Linked DNA regions of Struthio camelus. The protein of the gene in region 2 purifies or fractionates together with the protein of the main gene of each other region. This does not show direct contact. Links are inferred from orthologs where the notes say so. Each region holds a gene or a part of one and is shown on either strand. Other genes may lie near its edges.

Region 1 (7,497 bases), on a different chromosome or scaffold from region 2:
GCATATTGAGTTTAAAGGCTTCTTTTAAACCATGGCTACTAAACAAGGGATTCTGATCCACATCTGCACCACCACATTTTGAGGAGACCCAACCATGGTCCCAAACAAGGCCCAGTATTTCTGATGAGTCTGCCTACATTTGGAGAGTAGCTGGTGCACAGCACTGGTCAGCCTAAAACGCTGTAGCCAGGTGCACTGCTTCCTGCTGAGCTATCTTAGTAAAACTGTATAACCTCATTAACGGCTAAGTAGTCCAGTTCTTGGCAGTTTTCACTACTGCTTCAAATCCTCAGTCTTATGCAGAAGTAGTAGAGAACAGAAATGAATCATGTCAGGTTGCAAGTTTTCTCTTGAAAGATTTCTATCTGTCAGCTTTACTGGGGAGAAATAAGGCTAATTGAATTTAAACCAATTTGTTAGTGCAAAGACTGGTTACTCAAAGAGTTTATCAGGGTAACTTTTAAGACTAGCTAATACTCAGGTTAGAAAATTCAGTTATAAAAGCTGTCTTTGCAACACTTCTCTCATAAACTCTCCAATCTGATTTTCTCTCACAATTTTTTCCTGCATTTTAAAAGCCTCCTAAACCAAAGACCACAGAGCAGATAAAATTTCAGTACAAAACTATTCCAATGCTTCAATGACAGAAGAATCTCAACCCTGTCAGAATGTGCACTGTACATGCAACACTGCATTATTAGCCACAACGAGTGCAGTCTTCTTAAAAGACTGGGTTCAAATAAAGCAGAGTATTTTCCAGAATAACACTGTTACAACTAAGTTTGCATCTCAAAACTACACTGTGAGGTAGAAAATTGAATTTCATCAACCTAGCTCAATGACTGCAACAACAAGTAATGCAGTTTCATTAGGTACTCTGAAGTGTATCCATAGGAGCTTTGCATCAAAAAAATCATTTGCGCTAATCTACAAGTCTGTTTGTTTCAGCGCAAGTTTTGCGCACACATCAGCTTTGACACCTGGCACGTCCACAAAAACTGCACTGCCTGAAATCAAATTCCAAACATCACTTCAGTTACACCAGTAATACTTGCATGGATACCTACACTAATTTAAAGCTTACTAATAGTAATAAATGAGGTCTAGGTACTATATAGTCCAGGTACTATTTTAGAACAATATCACAGGTCTAAGTATACACAAGTGATACTACAGTTATGGCCATATAACTGTTGTATGGCTGCAAGAGAGGCAGCGCAAGTAGCCCCTACTACCAGTCATTCGTTCCCTCAGTTGTAGCATTATACAGCCCTTTGCACGGTACCTGGATCAGGGAACTAACCCGGATAAAAGTAAATCCTTTCTAACACAAATCAGTATAGCAGAACTGAGAAGATGCTGTGGAATGAGGCAGATAGGGGCTACTTGTATTTGGTGCTACATGAAAAAAGGTTTAAAAGTACATAAAATAAATGCCAGTATGCTTGTGGTGTCCTTGCACAGCACAGAGCAGGGTACAAGGTTACTATCACTACATTTTGCCTCCCTCTTTACAGCTGCAGCACCAATGGTTGCACAGCCTCTTCTCTTCAGCACGGGAAAGGGAATGGACTGGGGAAGCTCATCCTTCCCCCCAGAATGATGGCCGTCTTCCTCCCTTCCAGGAAAGGCCCAAACACTGTGAGATGCATGCCTCTTAGAAAGAGGCAACATGCAGGAAGAGAGCCTTTATCCCAGCAAGGTGGGAAAGGAGGAAGCAAACTTCCCAGTATGATCAGTTTTGTAAAGAGATGGTGGTAGGGGAACAAGAGAGGCAGAGAAACTCTTGTCCTGCTATGTAGCTCTAGGTCAACCACCGCTAACAGACTACCAAAATATCATGGTTTAATAGTATCACGATTTGTAGTGCTGGCAAACCTTTGTATCAGTTTGGGAAAGAGTGGGGTGGTGCTGCCCATCATTGCTGAGTGTCAGGTGTAATATACAAACAAGGTCAAGTTCTATGTAAACGGAGTTCAAAATCAGAGTTGAATGAAGCTGGCATAGAGCAGCATTTTTAGTTAACCTTGTAACACCTGCACACAGACCCCATCTAAGCAGAAGCAAATTTAATTGATCAAGAGAAGAAGACAAAATTCAATCTTGTAACGCACACACACATACATTTACAAGCTATGCGCATCCCGCATAGGGGAGTTGCCTCCTTCATTATTTATAATTGCTTCCACTTACAGATCAAGTTCTGTTTTTCTGACTTGAACAGCCTTTCTACAAACATTGCACACTGTGCACTTGTGAAACAGACATCTCCTCACGTACACCCTTACTAAGGGCAGATGCAAACAGGCTGTGTTCAGGAAAGAGAGGCCAAGTTGTCCGACTGCCCGCTGGTGCTTGGGAAGAGGAGGAACCCCACGCTCGGACAGCCTCGCGGCCTGCACCTTGCTGCGCCATCGGCTTGGGGGTGGATGGGGGCCGGAGACAGGCACAGCCGCTTCCCTCTTCAGGTACCCGGGCTGCGCATACAGCCGCGGGAAGCTGCTTCCCTGGCCACGACTTTAATTTCCCTGCACAGGCCACCGCGGCACAGGCCGGGGGGAAGCCGGGCCGCAGCCCCAAGGCGCGGGGAGCGCCGCAGGGCGGGCAGGGATAAGCGGCTCCTCCGCTGCCAGCGGTGGCCTCACCACCGCCCCCGCCCTGGCAGCCCCCTGCCGCTCCGCCACAGCGCGGGACCCCCGCTCCCGGCCCGGCCCGGCCCGGCCCGGCCCGGCCGGCCCAGTTCGCCAGCAGCCTCAACGGCCGCTGCCGCGCGCTGGGGACGCTGACGGCCGCGCCGCGCCGCCCCAGCGGGAGACTGCACAACGCTCCGCCACCCGCCCCCCCCGGGGGGAGAAACCGCGGAGAGAAGGGGAGGGGAGGGGGAAGGCCGCGCCCCCCACTGGCACCGGGCGCGGCGCGGCGCGGCCCCCCTCCCCCCGGCGCCGCGCTCACCATGCTGCTGGCGGCGGTTTATCTCGTTAGCGGGAGGCCGCCGGCTCCATCGCTCCCGCCCCCCCCCCCCCCGCCTTCGCGCCAACTCCGAACACCTGGCGCGCGGCGCTGGCGTCACAGCCGCGACGGACGGGGCGGGGCGGGGCGGGGCGGGGTGGAGGGAGCCTGCCGCGCGGGCGGGGGGGTGCGGGGCAGGCTGGCAGGACCGTTAGCGGGGCAGGGCAGAGTGCCGTTAACGGCCGGGAGCCCCCGACGCGCTCCGCCTTGGCTTGGCGCGACGGCTTGGCAGCTACAGCTCAGGCCCTGGCCGGTCGGCCGGGAAGGAAACGGGGGGCAGCTGCTGCTCGGTGCGGGGCAGTTAGCTCTGCCGCTCTGGAAGGAAGAGGCGTCTCCTGCGTTGCGGGCGGTCACCGCCGGCAGAGCAGCAAAGCCGACAGTTTAACCGTTGAACCATAATCTGTGCTGTGCCTGCATGAGGTGGATCGGGTTTTTTGTGCACTGAGGCAAATGAAGCATCCCAAATAGATAGGCAAATAGTAGCACGGCAGTGCAGTCACAGTGAGTCCGACCTGAATCAGCCCGATGCATTAAATTACTTTTCCGACGTGTCTTACGGACTAAATATGATTTGGCTCTTTCTCATTTCTTTCCCAGTTGTGCAGGAAGTCTTAGACTTCCATTTCTCTATGTGGATTTCTCCCCTCCATTAAGGCCAAGGAGAGCTCACAGTCTGCTAGGGTCCGAGGGGTCGAAGAGAAAATAAGAGTTACGCTCAGTCTTCACCTACTGTCTTCTTTATTTCTGATTTTTTTTTTTTATGAAATCCTGTATGCTTTCTTTACTTGCTGGGCATTGGGAGGGAAAAACCTTTGGCAATCCAAATAAAAATCAGTTCCCTTCTTAATAATAGTTATTTATTTGATGTCTCTGTTCTGCCAACCCATTGAATCCCTACTCACTGATAGTCTTGGAGGAAAAAAGGGGCAGGGAGGGGGGGATGAACTGAATTTATGACTTTCAAATATTGCCATTGACTGAGAAAACCACTCATAAAGCAGTACAGAGTACAAATTCAATCGGTACTTGTCTTACAGTACTAATCCTTTGCATACCTCTTGTACTCATTTTCTCTTTTTGTAAGAACAAGAGGCTATCTCCTTGGTGTCATGGTCGAACTCTCAACAAAGATAGTTGCATAGATATAAAAGATAGATCTTTTTGCCTGACCTGAGAAAACAGGAATGCTCATGGTCTCTATTACTAGTTCTGTTTAATTCCTTAAATTAAGCTGTAAATAATTATAAGGCCCTATTTATATAGAAGTTGCCACTGTTCTTTTATGAATGAGTATGGCCAGGTGGACTCTTTCCTTCATATTTTTAGTATTAGTGTAGCTTGTGAATTTGCATTTCTGGATAAAGAAATGGAAGAGCAAGCAAGTAAATATAGACCCCACAGCACAGGCTGTGATTTCAGTATTTTTTGCGAATTATGCCGTAAATCTTGGACTATAATGGCTATGCAAACAAAAAGGTATCACTTTAGAAAAACAACTCTAATGATATGTTTATATTTATGTATTTAATTCTCATTATGCCATTTTTAAAGCTGTACTTATTCCCAATGCCAAAATTAAGAGTAGTTTAAATGGCTGACATTTGTAAGAGCCACACAAACTGTTTAAATAATGTTAAAGAATTATTGCAGGTGGTTATCTATGTTTGTATTTGATAAAGCTACCTAGAATAACGTCAAGCAGAGCAGTATGCGCCTGTGGGCTTGTGACATGTTCATGTTTCTTGGAAGGCAAGAGTTTAACCCTTTATGTAAAGTAGATCAGCCCAAATACTTGGAATGACCGTAAATCACTTCTGGTTACAGTGGAGAGACTCCGCGGTGTTTCTGCATGTGTGCCTATGAAACCACTGCAAGTATGAGAAACCTTGCTGTGTCACTGGAAACAAAACCTAATACTCACTGTATTATGATGTGCTTTGTAAGATAAAATAAGGGCAATATCCCGTTTGATCGTATCATTGATCACGGGTTATGTTTTAAAGGCATATGATCCAATTAAAAGTACTATTTTTTTTTTAAAAATAGCTGAAGTACTCCCAATATTGTCATCCTATTTATAACTAAACCAAAGAGTAAACAAATCAGACTTGTTTTCTACCTTTTTGCAAATCACTTACTGCCTGGTTTATTTGGGATTTTTATGTTGATATTTTCCAAAATATATTTTAAAACCTGAGATATTTATTAAATCATGAGCTTCCAGTTTCTTCCTTACTGAACAAAAACAGTCTTACTGTTGTTAGTGAAGCCCTTGTCTTGTTTATAGAGAGGGAAAGTTGTGTGAAGAAAAATACATGTTCTTATGTTGAGAAATATCAAATAGATTAGTCACTTTCCTTTTTGGTAATATTTTCTAGGTCATTGTGTATTTGATTTTTTATATTTTAGTAGTTTGATACAATTTTAGAACCGAATCAACTTTTATTGTAACTATTTTGAAGCAATGTTTTCTTTAGAGTTATTCCAAATTTTGTATTTTGTGTTTTTTTGAAACTTATCTAAGTACAAAGCAGATAAACCTGTAACATAATACTGAGATACTTTTGAAGTCCACAAGGCAGTGTTTCTCGGTGTTTTTAGGGCACAGCACACTTCAATCATTTAAGAAATCTTTGCAATGTGTCATGGTACACGGCTAATGTTCTTTGAACCTCATATATATTCAAAGGACCTCACAGGTTAAGAATTGCCCTAAAGAAGTATACTATTATAATGCTGTGATGATAAGGAAAACACAACAATGTGTTTCCTGAAATTAAAACTTCAGGTTAAATTCAACGTTTTTAAATGGCGTTGATAAGTATCGAAATGTCCTCTTACTAGATGGTAATGTTTCTCTCTGTTAGATGAATTCTGTAGGGAATATGATGTTTACTAGAGTCTCTAGTAATAACAAATGGTTTTCTCTTACATTGTAGAAATAGGAATTTGTATTTTATTGCAGACCAAAAATTCCAAAAATTCTTTGTAAATCTGTCATCTAGGTTCTGTTTACGTTAGGCTTTCTATGTATCCATCACAATTTTGTGTCTTTAGAAAAGATTTGATCCCATCTCAAGCAGTTTTTGCTGTGTAATTCTTTGAGGTAAGTCTTTGATATGTGTTACACTGCTGAGAGCAATTACATAAATTAAGTTGTGATTTTTTGAGTGCTTAAAACTATTAGGTCTCAGTAGGTGATGTTAATGTAAACAGTGCACTTTTTCTGAGTGAACTTTGTCCTTAAATCTTTTCTCTATCTTCATTTGAATATCTAAAGGCAGAATGACTGTGTCTTAACTCAGACTAACATTGTATACACTCAGACTCCATTCTTTCTGGCTAATGCGCTCAGCACTTCTGCAGATCAAACTCCGAGTTTTCAAGCTGAGCCCATAAAACAAGGGGTATACATAATTAAAGGTTAAGTCAAAAGTTGGTTTCATAATTTGAATCACTTATCTTCACAGAGGCAAGGACAGAAAAGGAAGTTTGATAGGTGAGAATTGAACAGCATAGTCCGTTAGGCCTCCCAACTGATGTAGCTGTATTGGCAAGTGCCCTGGAGATCCCAGACTCTTTCAGCCTCAATTCATTCTGAAACCAGTTTCATCACATGCACAGCCTGAGGCAGGAAATTGCGCTATGTAACATCACGCTGACACCTGCTTGCGGCATCAGGGTGGGAGCCAACACTGACTTCTGCCACTCGAGCTAGTGGCATCATTTATTCCTTCTTCTTCTCTTCCCCTCCCTGTGCACCCCCGCTTCTCAGCTGTTCCTGATCAGATCTCACTGGTCTTTACTACTTGTTTTCCAAGTTAAAGGTCAGAGCCTTTCCTTTCCCCAACTCGTCATTCAGCTAATCATAACCTTCTTCCCAAGTTCACGTCCTTATATGACTCTCATCAGTTTAATCTCTTTCTAACTTTATCAAATAACATGATAGCCCGTACTATTAAATCTGACAAAACAGTAAGAAACTAGATTCACGGTCTTATAGTGGGAAACCTTTTGAAATCTTGATTAAAGCATGCTCCCAGGCACATCAAAAACGAGAAAAGAAGTGCAGTTCATAACTTTGGCCAGATTAAGCATCTGTGAGCACAAGTCCACTACACTGCTCACATCTCATGCTGATGCACCGTGTTGTCTGCAATAAGATGCAAGTTGTACTAGCTCTGCTGTAGTTATTGGGGAGAAGCCTATTGTCTTTACTTTGTCAGTGCACAGCCATGATGTTGCAGAGCTGTCATGAGTGTTTTGATCTCAAATATCTGGTAGTCATGGCAGCTGTCTACTTTTGAGGTACAGTGGCATCCATAATGACTTGTGTTTGGGTTTTCTCTTTCATAAAGTATGATCTATGCGATCAAAGCATTTTAAATGTTAAAATGGGAGGATTACAGTCATGCAATAACCATCCCAATAAGTATTTCAAAATGCTATTCCATGTGATAAAAAAGGAACATGTGACACGTACTGTAA
Region 2 (7,530 bases):
TGTGTAAAATCTTATGGGTAGCCTTTGTGAAGACTTTCAGATTCCAGTCAGCTACTTAAGAAATCAGAGCTGTGGTTGCCCCACGCAATCACATTTTTTCCTCTTTGAGATATACATTATTGTGCAGTTTTCAGTACTAACACACAGTGTTCCCCTTCCTCTCTTTCTTGCACATACAAAGGAAAGCATCTTATTTAATATACATGTAATGAAGGTACAATGGAGTTGTACAGGAATCCATACTTTTATCATCTTTTAAATCCTGCATATAATGTACATAAACTTAGGAACTTAAAAAAAAAAAAGATCACAGATGTTTCAATTCTTTGCCAAATTAATGTTACGAAAACTTTAACATAATAGATGTTTTCCTTTTGCTGACAGAAGGTAGGCCTTTCCAAATACCCCAAATGTTTTAAAAACACAAAATTCACCTGATCTGCACACGGCTTCATCTTTACTTTGTAGTTTACAGCTTCTGTAAGTAGTTTTTTTTAAACTGATTTGCACTACCTGCAGTATTTCTCAAAAACAAAACGATTCCCCCGTCCTGGCTTGAAAATGAAAAATAAACAAAGCAAAGTATCCCATAAACTCAGGCCTCAAGTTCTTACTGATGAAAGCACTGGTCCAGACGGAAGCAAACAGCACCTGTTGTCTTTTGCGGTTGTGAATGTTGGGAAGGTGGTAAGGAACCTGCATATTAAAAGACTAATATGCTTTGTGAGGCTCTTTCTTCCTCTGGTGTTCACCACTTAAGACACATAACTAAATCCTAAATCACATAGATCCACATAACTCTCATGAAGTAAGGAGTATGCCAACTACTACTTGCAGTATTTCAGTATCTTTGCTGAAAATAATTATTAAGTTTAAGCTTAACAAATATTCACTAAAAAAAATAGGAGAGGGCACACAGAAACAAAAAGTAGAGCAGTATAAAGTATGCACATATGTAAAGGAAAAGTTCTAGATAGGCAACACTATGGCTGGTATTTGTGATATTTGCTCTCTTAAGAATTTTATCAACTGTGGTACTTTGGAAGTAAACATACACCTCTCAAGCAATGTGAAATGTAACTGCTAAGTTTCCTGAATTAAATGTTAAGAAGAGAACAAAGCCCCTGCCCAACAAAGAAACACTGAGTTGAATGGAAACAGTCATGCTCTTGAAGATAAGAACACAGCTTAAGCACTTGCATAACCAGGCTGAAGTTTTACTACTTGTGGATATGATGGGGTTTCATTTAACTAACACTGAGAGTAACTGGTTTCTGCACAAGTTTAACTTCAGATTAAAAACTAAATTTGAAGTTTGTGGACTTGGATGCGTGGTCATATAGAATAGAAAGAAGAGAATTTAAGTTCTTTGGTTTTTTTTTTTTTTTTTGAAGCTGACAACACAAAATCTCAGAAAATACATCCACCATTCAGGGAAGTACCACAGTCCTGCAGCAATGTCTCCTATATAACACAGCACTTTCCCCTCCAGATGGGATTAATTTTATTTCTATAGAAGACCTGAAATTGAATTCACTGCCTAAAGATAAAAATCTCCCTTGACAGAAACAAGCAATTCCCTTTGCCTTATGTTTCACCCTCACCAAAAAGTGAACATAATTTTTTCTTCCTTCAATCTCAACTGCTGATAGTTAAGAATAATGCTTTTGGCACCACTTCAGTCATTAGCAAGCAATAAACTGTGAACTATAGCAATTCTGTGGAACTACACAAAATATTTTGTCTTTATGTGAGGCTCTGAGAACATACATATGATTGGACAAAGATGAGTTACAGAGCTGTACAAAGGGGTTAATTTGTTCCTTGTGTTTTTTGTCAGTCTCATTTGACAAGAAGCATGGGTGACCTGAGAGTCAAATCAGTATGTTGCATCCAATAAACTTTGCATACAGTGTTTATCCTGGCATATTCAGCATTACTTTTCAGCTCTTTTCCAGGATGCTTGCAAGTGACAGGAAGAGAAAGGTAATTAAACATTAAAAAAAAAAAAAAAACAATGATGCAGTAATCTGCAATGATGCAGATATACAGAGGAGGCCCAGGAATACAGCAAAGCAGAACTGCAGTGGCATTCTCAGTAATTATATGAACAATGAAATTAGATCAGAACAATGTACAAAACTTGATTTAAAAGAACCCAAACAACTTCACATCTAGCAGTTTAAGCTGTATAATCTATGGAAGCAGAAAACAGAGTGCATTGCAGAGATTCTCAAACCTTTTCCATATTAGTATGCACTATGATTCACCAATAAAAGTAGCAATATGAAAAAGAGCGAGATGTTTACAGCCCTGTACAACCCTTTCTGTAACATGAAAACAACCAATTTAGGAGTCAAGAATGTGTGTGTTAAAAAGAAGGTATCTCTGTAACACTGAAAATGCAGTTTAAAAAGGTTCTCACCTAGCATAAGTTACTATCTTAAGAAGTACAACAGATTATGTCTTTTATTCTTATTAGTCATATATCTCTTTAGCTCAGGCTTCTCGAAAGCATGAGAAAGGAAAATAAGTATCAACAAATACAAAAAAGGGAAATACTTATAAGAAACACTAATAAAGACTTTCTCACATACATAAAAATTTTCATGAAATTTTACGGAAGAAGAAACACCAAGACCTATGCAATCCAAATTAACATTGTATAAAAACACTCAATGATGCAGCAAAAAAGCATGATAAAAAAGTAATTACGATGAAGTTAGGCAATAAAAGCGTAAGTGACAAAGGCAAAGTCAGGAGTTTTCAAATAGCAGATCTCAAACTAATGTCAACATTCTCTAATTAAGAAAACTCTCTGGAAGTAATTAAGAAAACTCTCCAGAAGATAAAAGATGCTAAGACTGAAAGCCAGGTATTTATTAGATACATTACCCTTGTTAGGCTGCAAACCCATTTCTTCCCCAACAAGCAGTTCTCTTTTTGACTGCAAAGCTTCAACAGCGACTATGCATGTTACAGGCATACACGTGTAAAAATTTTTAAGATGTATTTTTCTAACAGCTGACCCTTCAAGTTTGGCAGGCACCAAAGGCCCTAAAAGGGCCACTTTGCAGCAGCGTGCTGCATCTGGGCTCCAACTGTCATGTTTACGATATGTTATTCAGGTTACGATATTCTCTGGCAAATGAACTACTGAAAAGGTGAATGGCATAGTGACAGGAGATAAGACGACATCCAACTGCAGCCCACCAAAGCCACGATCCCACCGCCCTCTCATTCCTGGCTGCGTGCTGGTTCTGCACAGGCTCTGGCAGCAGAATGATTCCTTGGTGATCTGGCTCAGCTTGCTCAGCCTTCACAAAACTATCCCAGCAGAGTAAGAGTCGCTTCCTGCTAGTTAGCACGCTGAATTAACCCACTTTGGGTCAGAAGAGACAGCCAGCGCATGGGTAGTGTTGGCCTGCGCTTTTAAAGCACAGTGTAGTGCTAGATTGTTTCAAATGTTTCCTGAAATGTGAGTCTTGGGAAGGAAAGCTGAAGGAACTTCTGTACACAATGGAAGATTTGTGAGAAAACACCGAGAAAGGGGAAATATTATGGTGAAGGCACTCATGTACAGATTTTAGCTCCGTCTTATGCCAGTTAGTTGCTGCACTTCAACAAACGGAGATAACTCACTCTAACTCCCAGGACCAATATGGCAGCAAGCCTATGTTCTTTAGTATGAAATGTTCAGATATTGCTTCTGTAACAGCCATGGGGCGTTTTCAATGTAATCACAGAAATGTCAACAGTGTACACCTCTGTAAAACAAGTAAGAATCAAGAAAGCATAGCTTTAGCAGTAATACTCTGAAGTAAGCGCAGAATGAGTTTCTAAAGGGCTAGACAAAATGGTGAAAAGTAGTCAATACAGAGCAAGGCTCTCGGGTAAGAGGAGAAAGAAGTGTACTTTAAGAGGAAGAGATATGGGGAAAAAGGGCTAAAGGGCAAAATATGTATCAGACAGAGGCCTGGAACTGGAAAAAAAAGGAACATTCATACATATTTTGATTCTGAATAACGGGGAAGATGTGGGGACGAGTAAGAGCAATACTGAGAGACGCATCCCTTTTGAAGTTGTTCCCTGTCTCAGCAGCCGGAAGAAGCGCACTGCCGGCTGAAGGGCAGAGGCAGGTCTTTTAAGCTTTTCCTTGTGGCGCAAAAGTGAGCAAAGCAGCCGATCGGGATCTTCAAGGAAATAGGAGGGGAAAAACAGAGAGCGGGGAGCACGAGCCAACCGCCCGGGCCGCAGCGGCGGGAGCCCGAACCCCGGCCCCGGAGGCCGGGAAGCGCCGCCCCGCGGCAGCTCCCCCCGCAACCGTCCCCGTCCCCGTCCCGCGCCCAACGGACGCTGCCGCCGCCGCCGCCCGGCCCGGCCCACGGGGGGCGCTGGCGCACGGCCCCGCCCCCCGCGCTCACTCACCGGCGCGCCCCCAACCAGCCCGACGCCGACGCCGACGCCGCACAGCCACCTCCGCTTCCGGGTTCCGTCACGCGCCGCCCGGACGCCGCGCGCGCGCAGTTCGTTTCACGCGCCGAACCCACCTCCGCGCACTCCGTCGGACGCAGCGCGCTTTCGATGACGTCAGGCCGCGGGAGGTAGGGCGGGGGGGGGGGCTTCTCGCTGAGGCAGGCGATTGGCAGGCGAAGGGGAAGTCCCGCCCGGACGCCTCCCGCGTTGCCAGGTAACGGCGGCGGCCCCCCGGTCAGCGCGGGAAAGCGGGCGGCGATGGGGGACGTGCACGATGTGCCGCGGCCGCGCATCGCCACCGGCCACCTGGCGCGCTACATCGGGCAGCCCGTCTGCTTCGTGGGCCGCGTGGAGAAGGTACCGCGGCCCCTGCCGCCGCCGGCTGCCCCGCCGCGAAGCGCGCGGCCTTCCCCGAGCCGCCTTCAGGCGGCCTCCCCGGCGGCGGCCGGAGGGCCCTGCTCGCCGCGGGCGCGGCCGAGGCTGAGGGGCCGCGGCCGCTGAGCCCCGAGTCGGCCCCCGCCGCGGGCGGGCGGGCGGGAGCTGGCCGCAGCGGCGCTGCTGGGTCCGGTGGAGAAACACCGGAGCTCCTCCGCTGTTCTGGCGTAGAAGAGCTACGTCTGTAACGTTTGCAGCTGCGTTTTGAGCAGGCGGACTTGGTTTCTTTTGTAGATTCACCCTACTGGGAAACTTTTTGTCCTTTCGGATGGAGAAGGAAAGCATGCAACTGTGGAGCTGAGCGAACCCGTAAGTTGAAGATCGCTTTAGAAGTAATTGGCATTGCCGTTTTTAGATACCGGCGGCTTTGTCTTTTCTGAATTTTGGGCATGCCTTGAACGTACTGCGTTTTTAGTCAGAAAAAGCAAAAGATCTCCCTTGTTTTTCACTTTTGCACCTGTTTTTTTTCTCTATGCTCCTTGCACCTTCAACTCAACTTGCGTAGTCCTGATGTTAATCAGCTCAGCAGTTTTCAGGTGGTGTAAGACACTCAGTTCATTCCCTTTTTCCAGTGACATTGCTAGTTGGCTACTTCATCTTACTCTGTTTGTTGCTTACAATGTGAAATACTTTACTATATTGCTTTAGTTTTGTTATGCTTTCTCTTCTCTCTCTCTTTTCTTTATTGTCTATCTTTGTATTCCTAACAGATTATTTTGTAAAGATAGTCCAAAAAAACCTCCAAGAAATTGGTATTCTCTTGAGCTGACATTTTACTGATCTCTTAGAACACTTCTCGTTGTATTCCAGTGAACTTCATCATCAGCTTGAGCGTTCTGTTGAAAAAAATCATTAAGCAATTATGCATTTCATATACTCATTGCATATAAATGCTGCCAGGAAGTTTTGTTTCGTGTGTTATCACGTTCCTCTCTTATCACTAAAGGAATAAGACACTCGTGTTCTCTTCTGTCTTGCAAGTTTTTCCAGTTATCAGGTAGTGTACCTATGATGGCAAATGCTCTGGCTTGTCCGAATATATCCATAGTGTTTCCATCGTTTATGTGAATGAGTTGTTAAACACTGAAAAATCTACCATTTCCTGTGAATTAGTTCTGTGTCATACTCGCTGGCTTTCAAGATAGGAATCTCACCTTACTGAATAAAAATGCAGTTGGATCTGGCAAAGAGTTCCGTTTTATAAATGTGAAACTTGCTGTCTTCAACTTCATCTTGTGGGAAAGATGTTTTCTTGCAAGTTCTACCCGTTTCTTAATTCTTACATGAGCTCGTGAGTTTTCCTGTCTTGGGTTGTTACACTTCAGATATCAGCATCTGATTAATGATCCTACAACTTTCTGTAACAGAGTAAATGAGCAAAACTTAAAAATGCATAGTTGTATTAGACATTTCACAGTCTGTGTTCCAGTTCTGCATGAATAGGTAAAGGAGGAGAAACTAGGGTGTGCGGAAATATCATGCCAGGCCCATCTCTCTAGTTTGCCTAACATAAGTAGAGAGACTTCTAGATTTCCCTGTCAGAATGCTTCTAGCTTTCTTCCTTTGAGAGTTTCCTCTGTTTCTGTGTGTGTAGTCCCTCCTTCCAACAGAGAAATATAAAATTATGCGGGGAGAGAGGAGATCTATTTCTATGTTCCAGTAAGCTTACTAGAAGGTTAAAATAAGTATAAGGTTAGTATTAGAAGGACATTATAGAAATAGTGTCACACTCTTAAAATGAGTAAAAAATAATAAAAAAGTAAGTTAAATCTACATGAGTTTGTGGTAAGATATAATTTTTATTTTTAGCTTTTTTTTTTCTTATTCAACCAAAAGCTTGTTAATGCCATTGTCCTTGTACTCTGAACGCTTCTTGACAGAGCACCTGAGAAAGCTTCTAGGAGACTTTACTGTATTATTCTTCTGCTGACTGAGTCCTAGATTACTACCTCTGCGCAGTGATTAAATGACACAGCTGTATATACCCATTACAGTGTTATCTTCCTTCTGATGGTTCTTCATACTTCTTTTCTTTCTCTGTTGAGAACTTAAATGGCTGTTACAAAAAACTGTACATCTGTAAATGACTCAAAGCTTTTGCTTTTTTTTTTTTTCCTTTTCCCCCAGTAGTATTGTATTGCATGACACAGAACAGAATCTTTTGTAATGAACAAACCTTCAGTTTGCTGAGAGTTTCTAGCTCAAGTTCTGTGCAGAGCAGACTGTACTTAACTTGGTGATGCTAATGTCATTTTTGGTATGTTCTCTAGCTAGATGAAGAGATCTCAGGAATTCTTGAAGTAGTGGGAAGAGTAACAAGTCAGGCAACCATCATGTGTATGTCATATGTCCAGTTCAGAGAAGATAAAAGTCCTTTTGGTAAGTAAGAATATACCTTATAACAAACTAATTTTGCATTCAGAACTTGATTCCTGGAAGAAGGCAGAGCCAGATAATCCTTTCTTTTGGATAATGTCATTCTTCAAGCTGTCAGATATGGAGAAGAATGTAGGAATGGGTACTACCATGGGAAAAACTATACACGGAATATACTGCCGTACTGCTGAACTGTAGGCAGGATCTCAAAGCCTGAGCTGATCTAGAGTACTGCCATGGTCC
Region 3 (7,261 bases), on a different chromosome or scaffold from region 2:
TGCCCAGGTTTTCAGGTACATGGTCCCCCAAGAAGTCAGAAGGTACAATGTAAGAACAATGCAGCAGCCATTCACAGAAAGCAGCAACAGAGGAGAAAAAAAAATACTAACAATAATAAATATGCAAATAACAGCCAGAAGAAAAGAACAGAAGCAACCAGAAAAGGTGCAGGCTTTAGTCCTGTCAGTAACCCAGTTAACAGAATCAGCCCATCAACTCTGAGTGATAGCTGAATTCAGACTGACCCATTTTCCCACATCAGTTTATGAATAACTTCTCTTCCATCATTCCCAAAAGACCCTGACCAGCTGGCACCACTAATCATCTCACAGCATGGTTCATAAGTCAGGACTTCTGATTTCTTGGCTAAATCCAAGTTCAAGCTATTCAGTCCCTGAATTTCTTTCCAAATTTCAACTGCCTTTACTTCCAATCCCCCATTAATATTCCATATTCCACCCTAACAGCAGATGCATTGCTAAGAGCATATATCAACTACAGTTCCAAGAGATGCTGAAATTTTGTTCCAATGTAAAACAGAGATATGAGCAAACAAGCAAATCTTACCGTAGCTTTTGCTTGGTACCTTCTTAAACACAGCAATGAGTTCGGCATTATACCCTATTTCAACCTGGAATCGATCTTCTCCATATTTCACACACTTTCCTTTTGTAACACTGCATGCTTTCTTGTGAGAGACAGCTTCAAAGGTAGAGCCTGCACCAGCAGAGCTGGTCAGCTTTTGCACCTTACCACTGGCCTGAGAGGCACCACCTCCTCCCTCTTTTTCTGTTGATCTGCCTGTGTTTATCAGCATTTCTGAATCACCTGGGGTGGTGCTGCTTGGTGGTGAAACATATTTAGTGGCAGATTTGCTCTGACTTTGTAAATCTTTAATATCACCAGGGTGCCAGTTATCTATTAATCTGGGATGAGATAGTTCTGTAGGGTTTTTGTAAGCTGGGTAGTACTTGGACTGCTGGAATGTACCAAGATTAATTAAAGCTTGTTGATTGTGTTTCTGGCCATCAGCACCTGAGTTATGTTGATGGGAATAACTCAGAGAATTTGGAATCGTTGCAGGGAATTGCTTAATGCCACTTGCTTGTTCTGAGTCCTCCGAACAATTCTTTTGTTGCTCTCCATGTGAGCCAGCCATCTGTTGGTTTGCAGTGCAATGATTATAATCTTTATGAAGATAGCTCTTCTGCTCCTTAGGACTGTTCGGATTCTGTTGGTGCTGGCTAATGAACCTGACATGATCGTTTTCTTGCTTCAAGTTTCCCTGATTGCGTAAACTGCGCTCTTTCAGCTGAGGTTCAGTGCTCCCCACCTGCCCACCTCTCTGGGCTGCTAGTCTCTCTGCTCTCCTAGCCAAGGCCTTCTGGCGGTTCTCTTCGATTCTTCTCTTTTGCTCCTCTGTAAGGCCTGATGACATCTTCAGCAATTCAAATAATAATCCTGAATCAAAACCACATCGGGAGTTAATCTCAGGGCAGTTGCTTCTTTACAGGATTGGAGGCCAGCCTATAAAAATATAGCAGACAGGAAGTTTCAACTCTGTAGGTATTCTTAGTGATCAGGTACTACTGTAACTGATCCTACACAAAAACAGCAAAGCTGTCAGGTCAATGCTAAGCCATTGTCAGCATGCAGATGCTGACAACCGCTGCTAGGCTTTGCAGGGCAGTTCCACATAGATAGAGCATATGGAAAAAGGAGAACCTGCTCATACCACTCCAGTGCCAGCTTGGGGCACCATTCCTCCCCAATCCCAGCTGTTGGCAGTTCAGATAAAAAGGCCAAACACAGGGACACCCTGCAGCACAGAGGCTGCCCCACAAAGGCAAATGCATGCAAAGCAGTTAATCTGCACAGTTTTGTATGGGAAGTGTTTCACATTTTTGGTACCTAACAAAAAAGAAGGGACCACACCCCATCTTTCCTGAGCGTCCTCCAGTCCTCAGGCCGTTCACAGCATAGAGCAGAAATACTTTGCTGCAAAGGGCAGGGTCAGCTCCTGCCTTGAGGAAGGTCCACTCCAGTTCAAGGACCTTCTGATGGGAACAAGGACCCAGCTCCCACCGCATTTCCCAGGAACTGGCCTCGCTTCACCTACTCCTAGCATCCTATCCTGGGGGCTGCCCTCCTCTCCCTGCACTGTGGGGCTCACTCCCTGCCCCACTCCTCTCCCAAACACCAGGCTCCCTTGTCCCAGCGCCCACTCTCCAGCCTAGGCTCCCCCCACCCCACAGGGGCCCGGCGCCCACCCCTAAGAGGGGCCCGGGCCTCCCTCACCCCACAGGGGCCCGGCGCCCACCCCTAACAGGGGTCCGGGCCCCCCTCACCCCACAGGGGCCCGGCGCCCACCCCTAACAGGGGCCCGGGCCGCCCTCACCTCTCAGGGGCCCGGGCCCCCCCACCCCACAGGGGCCCGGCGCCCACCCCTAACAGGGGCCCGGGCCGCCCTCACCTCTCAGGGGCCCGGCGCCCACCCCTAACAGGGGCCCGGGCCTCCCTCACCCCACAGGGGCCCGGCGCCCACCCCTAACAGGGGCCTGGGCCCCCTCACCCCACAGGGGCCCGGCGCCCACCCCTAACAGGGGCCTGGGCCCCCTCACCCCACAGGGGCCCGGTGCCCACCCCTAACAGGGGCCCGGGCCGCCCTCACCTCTCAGGGGCCCGGCGCCCACCCCTAACAGGGGCCCTGGCCGCCCTCACCTCTCAGGGGCCCGGCGCCCACCCCTAACAGGGGCCCGGGCCGCCCTCACCCCACAGGGGCCCGGCGCCCACCCCTAACAGGGGCCTGGGCCCCCTCACCCCACAGGGGCCCGGAGCCCACCCCTAACAGGGGCCCGGGCCGCCCTCACCTCTCAGGGGCCCGGCGCCCGCCCTACAGGCCGCAATGTCCCACATCGCCCCGAAGCTCCCCTGCAGCGCGCCTGAGTCGCAGCCACGTCCCAGCGCCCCCCGCCCCAAACGCCCGCGCACCCACCGGATGGCAGAGGCCGGGTATCCCCGCCAAAGGGCGCGCAGCCGCGCGGACTACAACTCCCAGCAGGCCCCGCTCTAGAGAATAAAGTACTCCCACCGCAGGTGGCACGCCGCGAACTGGGATGGTTTGTGGGCCGCTCGGCATGCTGGGAAATGTAGTCTTCTCCTCCCGGCGCCATCTTATGGGCGCGAAGGGCAGCGCGGCCCAGGGGCTCGAGCTGTGGAGCCGGGCGCCGCAGCACCCTCCTCTCGCCCCGGTTTCTCTCGTACGAACATGCAGGGCGCAGGAGCCCTTCTACCCGTGATGGACCGTGCCTTTGCCCTACCCCGGTGCCCCACAGCCTCAATCCTTTTGGGCCACGCTCCCAAAACCACACGTACAACGGTGTCCTGGTGCCCCGGGTTTGGTTGGCCTGGGAGGAAGGGCGTCACTCTTAGAGGTGTTAGTAAGTGCATGAAATTAAAAACAGAGTTAATACATGGAAAAAGAGTGGCAATAAATTCACAATGAGGTAATTATTTGCCTCCATTTTAAAATTCGGAATAAAAGGACTTTTCAGGGTTTAAATACGTAGAGCAAGCTGTCCCTCCTGGACAGTTCAAGTCATGATTCCCCTGTGAGCGACCAGAGCAGAGTAGCTGGAGTGATCGTCTCTGGGTAGCAGCCTAGCCCCTTCCCACCTTCTACTTCAGCCCCTGCCGTCGCTGTCCCCAAATACCTTTTTCCCCCACCTGACAGACCCCTCAGCTAGGGACAAAGCAGCCAGCTGGCTGCTTCACAGTTTATTTATTCAGTCTTCTCTCCACTGTTAATTAAAAAAGGTTATCCTTAAATTGCTTTCTGATTAAGAAGCAGTGACTGCCATTAGTCAGGAGCGCGTCAGCCTGAGAAAAACAAGGCAGGCAGCGAGGATGAGGTGCGACTTGACAAATAGCACAACCCCGGGAGTGCAGTTATTCACCCAGGAATCACAAACACACAAACGTGAGCATGGCACATACACGCAGACACTCGCAAACATGCAACTTTTAAAGAAAGCCACAGTGCTGAGGAGAGATCTGGACCAAGAGTTTTGTCTTAGTTTCTCTTAGGAAGACAGCAAAAGAGTAAAAGTTGACCATTCTTCCAGAAGCCAGGGCTCCCCCCTGCAGAGCCGGAGCATGGTAAGAAAGGATGTTCAGTCCTGTGGTCTCATTTCAGATCATCAGTGATTGCCCTTTTCTTCCCTTTTGAGCCAGTGGCCTCAAGCTGATTAAGTGGCAGAGAGAGGAAGGAAGGGATGAGAGATCAGTTTTTTTTTTTCTTTCTTGTCACACTTTGCGCTGCTCAAAGCTAAACCAGAGCCCGGAGTTACATACAGGCAAGAGAGGGAGGAAGCACAGAGCATAACCCTGCAAGTATTTCAGCCACTTTCTCTCTCTCCAGCGGCTGTTCAGTTCCAGGGCTCTCGTGATGACTCCTTATGTTTTGGGAGAGCTGGAAAAGAATAGACTTGGGAGAAGTAGAGAAAAGCCCCTCTCAGGGACTGTCCCCAGCTCATGAGGACAATGAAATTAAAGCATCATTTGCAGAGATAAGAGCTCTTGGGTTGCACGGTCAGGCAGACACACAGACAGACGTTGAAGCATTTGCTCCATATGGCACAACTTCAGCAAGGCACAAGGAACAGCCCAACCATGCAGAGAACAGACCTACAAAATGAGAGGCCGTTTGCAAGCAGTTTGCTGGTAGCACTCCAGGTGTCCTTTCAATCAGAACATGCTTCCAGCAATGGCTTGGATTCACCTTCCACATACTAGGTCAGGGAACAGAGATGCAGTAAGAAAATCCTGAGAGGATGAGTGGGTTAGCAGACCCCAGCTCTGCTGGGGAGGAGATGGTTCTTCCGCTTCCTCAGAACCACTCCAGTTAGCAAAAAAGCTTGAGGAAACAGGCTTCTCAGTACTGCTCTCACTAGGATCTTTCCATCATTTGGATCATACTCAAAATGTAGTGATCCTCTCATGGACTGGACTGGCTGATCCTGACTGCTTCCTGCTGAAAGAAACCAAAACTGCCTGGACATTTGTCATACATCTTGTACAAACAGCAGCTAATATCTGAAATATTAGTGACCCCGGATCCTGGACCTGTTCTGTATCTCACAGTTCTTCATCTGGGGATATCTTCTGAGCTGCTCTCAGGCTCTCTCACTTGCTGTCGTGCTGAATGTACTCACCTTGCTCCATCCCCTTTCAAACACACCTCCATGGTTCTCACCGCTGCATATCCTCAGGCCTGGTGCCATCTGGGAGACAATCAGAAACACAGAGCTTGGCATGCAGTAACAGCCCTCGGGTGCTCCGACTTCTCAGAGGAGTTCAGAAGCCCGCATGGAGCTCAGCAACACCATTATCAGCTCCCAAACACACTCACCTTTGACCAGCCGAGGTGTACTTGTAGTCACCCCCTTTAAAAGAAATTAAGCCCAAGACCATAGGCTTTATCAGCTCCTTCCCAGGTAAAACCAGTCAAGTGACCAGAGTGAGAATGTGCAGGTCACACACAAGTCCTTCAAGGAAGGTCTAAGGGCAGAGGAGGCAGGGAAAGGCCCCTGGGCTGGCACAGCTCATTGGGGAAAACCAATCTGTCATCTGAGCTGCTAGGATCTGAGCTGAATACTTTCTACAGCACCTGATCCGTGGGCTGAGGGGCTGTGCTCCTTCCTCTCTGGTCTGGGGTCCTCAGCAGGGTCAAAGCTTCCTAATGGAGAGCCAGAACCCCATGCTCAGAGCTCCCACAGGTGCTGGGGTTCAGGGTTGGACCTGGGCACAGTGGCTGACCCCATATTCTCCCAGAGCAGTTCTTCCCGGATTTCTTTTCTTAGTCATCTGTTAATACCCTCTACTTTCTCTCTGCCTCGGCACATCAAGGACAATGGCCTACTGGCCCATTTGACAGCCCAGCTACTACCACAACTCCACTCTGAATCAGACCCTTTCCCAGAGCTTCTTTGTATCACCAAAGACAAAATTTGAACTTTGGAGCCCTTAAAACTTGGAGCCCAGCTGCCCTTAAAACCCTAATGAAAGGGGACCTGTGGAGCCTTTTCTCTCGGTATTTCTAACATGTGAGGATTGCTCCCCCCTCTGACAGCCAGCTCAGTGAAGAAGAATCCTCTTTCCCTGCTCCTTGGCCACCCCGTGCAAAGAAAATTAGTCACCATCCACTCTTCTGAAGCAGCCGCCTTTATCTACACAGCTTGCTCTCCCCTAGCATGTTGAAGCCTTCCTGCTCTTGTTTATTGTGCAGCCCCTCCAACAGATTGCAGGGGCTCTTCTCTGCCGTCTGTCCTTCTTGGCTGGATTCCTCTCCACAGCTCCAGTCCAGAGCAATGGTCTGCACAGCACATGGCCTCTGCCTCACTGCCAGGCCTCCACCACACTCACATGGTTGCTGCAAGGCTGAGCTGACTCTTGTTTTTTTATATGATAGAACTCAGGTGTGTGGGACAGTTCTTTGGCACCTGGAATAAAGATTTAAAAGAGAAAAAAAATATCCTACATTAAGATGCAAACAGGGTTTCCAAAGCCTCTGTGTTGCCAGCATTTAACACAAAGTGAGGTGTGATCTAGTTCTGGGAGGCACTAGCAATTTGGACCCCCCGATGTCTTATAATATATTTGAGTTCAGGCCATCATACATCCCTCTGGTCTACACAACTGTTTGTTTCCCCAAATGCAGAACAAAACATTATCTTGGTGAAACATGGTTGAACTGGCTGAAGGAGGCAAAGTTAAAAGGGGAGGCCCACATGTACGCACAGATAACTTAATTGCATAAGCTTTATTTCCTTAGGAAACCAGGCTAAAGAAACAAAAGTTGCCCTCCCAGTTCTATTCTGGAGCCTAAATTACTGGCCTAGTTTTCAAGCTCAGAATAAACAGTTAATCCTATAGCTTTAGTACTGATGTGAAGCCAACTTTTGAGCTTCTGTTGGTTAAAACTACCCATGGTTCTCTGGCCCTTTCTCTTCCTGGTGCGCAAGAGACCCAGAGATACAGATAAATCCTTAAAGCAGGAGCATCAGAGGTCACTGATGCTAAATAATTATCCACCAGTGTAATATTAATGGTCCTTTGCTCTTGCACAGCAGTAGTGTCTCTCTTTGGAGGACCTCAAAGCATGCTGCAGACCAAGAGGAGTTGGCAGAGCAGCTCTGGGCTTCTGTGAGATGTAAGGGCTGATGCCAAGGGCTTTTCCAAAAGACAGCCCCAGCAAGCCAG

Evidence for each region. Proteins that work in one complex are often made in the same cells at the same time.
Region 1: the proteins of RPA3 (region 2) and RFC1 purify together in Homo sapiens (affinity purification with mass spectrometry; 3 studies listed by BioGRID and IntAct, with this or other methods). This does not show direct contact. The link is inferred for Struthio camelus from reciprocal best matches to the Homo sapiens genes RPA3 and RFC1.
Region 3: the proteins of RPA3 (region 2) and SMARCAL1 purify together in Homo sapiens (affinity purification with mass spectrometry; 3 studies listed by BioGRID and IntAct, with this or other methods). This does not show direct contact. The link is inferred for Struthio camelus from reciprocal best matches to the Homo sapiens genes RPA3 and SMARCAL1.

Annotation. Positions count from the first base shown.
Region 1 is NC_090945.1:61,775,176-61,782,672, reverse strand, and holds the start of RFC1 (replication factor C subunit 1), read right to left. Parts: upstream 3,084-7,497; 5' UTR 2,956-3,083; coding exon 2,953-2,955; intron 1-2,952. UniProt on the Homo sapiens protein: Subunit of the replication factor C (RFC) complex which acts during elongation of primed DNA templates by DNA polymerases delta and epsilon, and is necessary for ATP-dependent loading of proliferating cell nuclear antigen (PCNA) onto primed DNA.
Region 2 is NC_090943.1:29,918,276-29,925,805, reverse strand, and holds the start of RPA3 (replication protein A 14 kDa subunit), read left to right. Parts: upstream 1-4,515; 5' UTR 4,516-4,734; coding exon 4,735-4,833; intron 4,834-5,145; coding exon 5,146-5,220; intron 5,221-7,181; coding exon 7,182-7,290; intron 7,291-7,530. UniProt on the Homo sapiens protein: As part of the heterotrimeric replication protein A complex (RPA/RP-A), binds and stabilizes single-stranded DNA intermediates that form during DNA replication or upon DNA stress.
Region 3 is NC_090947.1:29,554,702-29,561,962, forward strand, and holds the start of SMARCAL1 (SWI/SNF-related matrix-associated actin-dependent regulator of chromatin subfamily A-like protein 1), read right to left. Parts: upstream 3,084-7,261; 5' UTR 2,997-3,083; intron 2,989-2,996; exon of another isoform or gene 2,872-2,988; intron 2,825-2,871; exon of another isoform or gene 2,723-2,824; intron 2,059-2,722; exon of another isoform or gene 1,913-2,058; intron 1,529-1,912; 5' UTR 1,440-1,528; coding exon 569-1,439; intron 1-568. UniProt on the Homo sapiens protein: ATP-dependent annealing helicase that binds selectively to fork DNA relative to ssDNA or dsDNA and catalyzes the rewinding of the stably unwound DNA. Rewinds single-stranded DNA bubbles that are stably bound by replication protein A (RPA).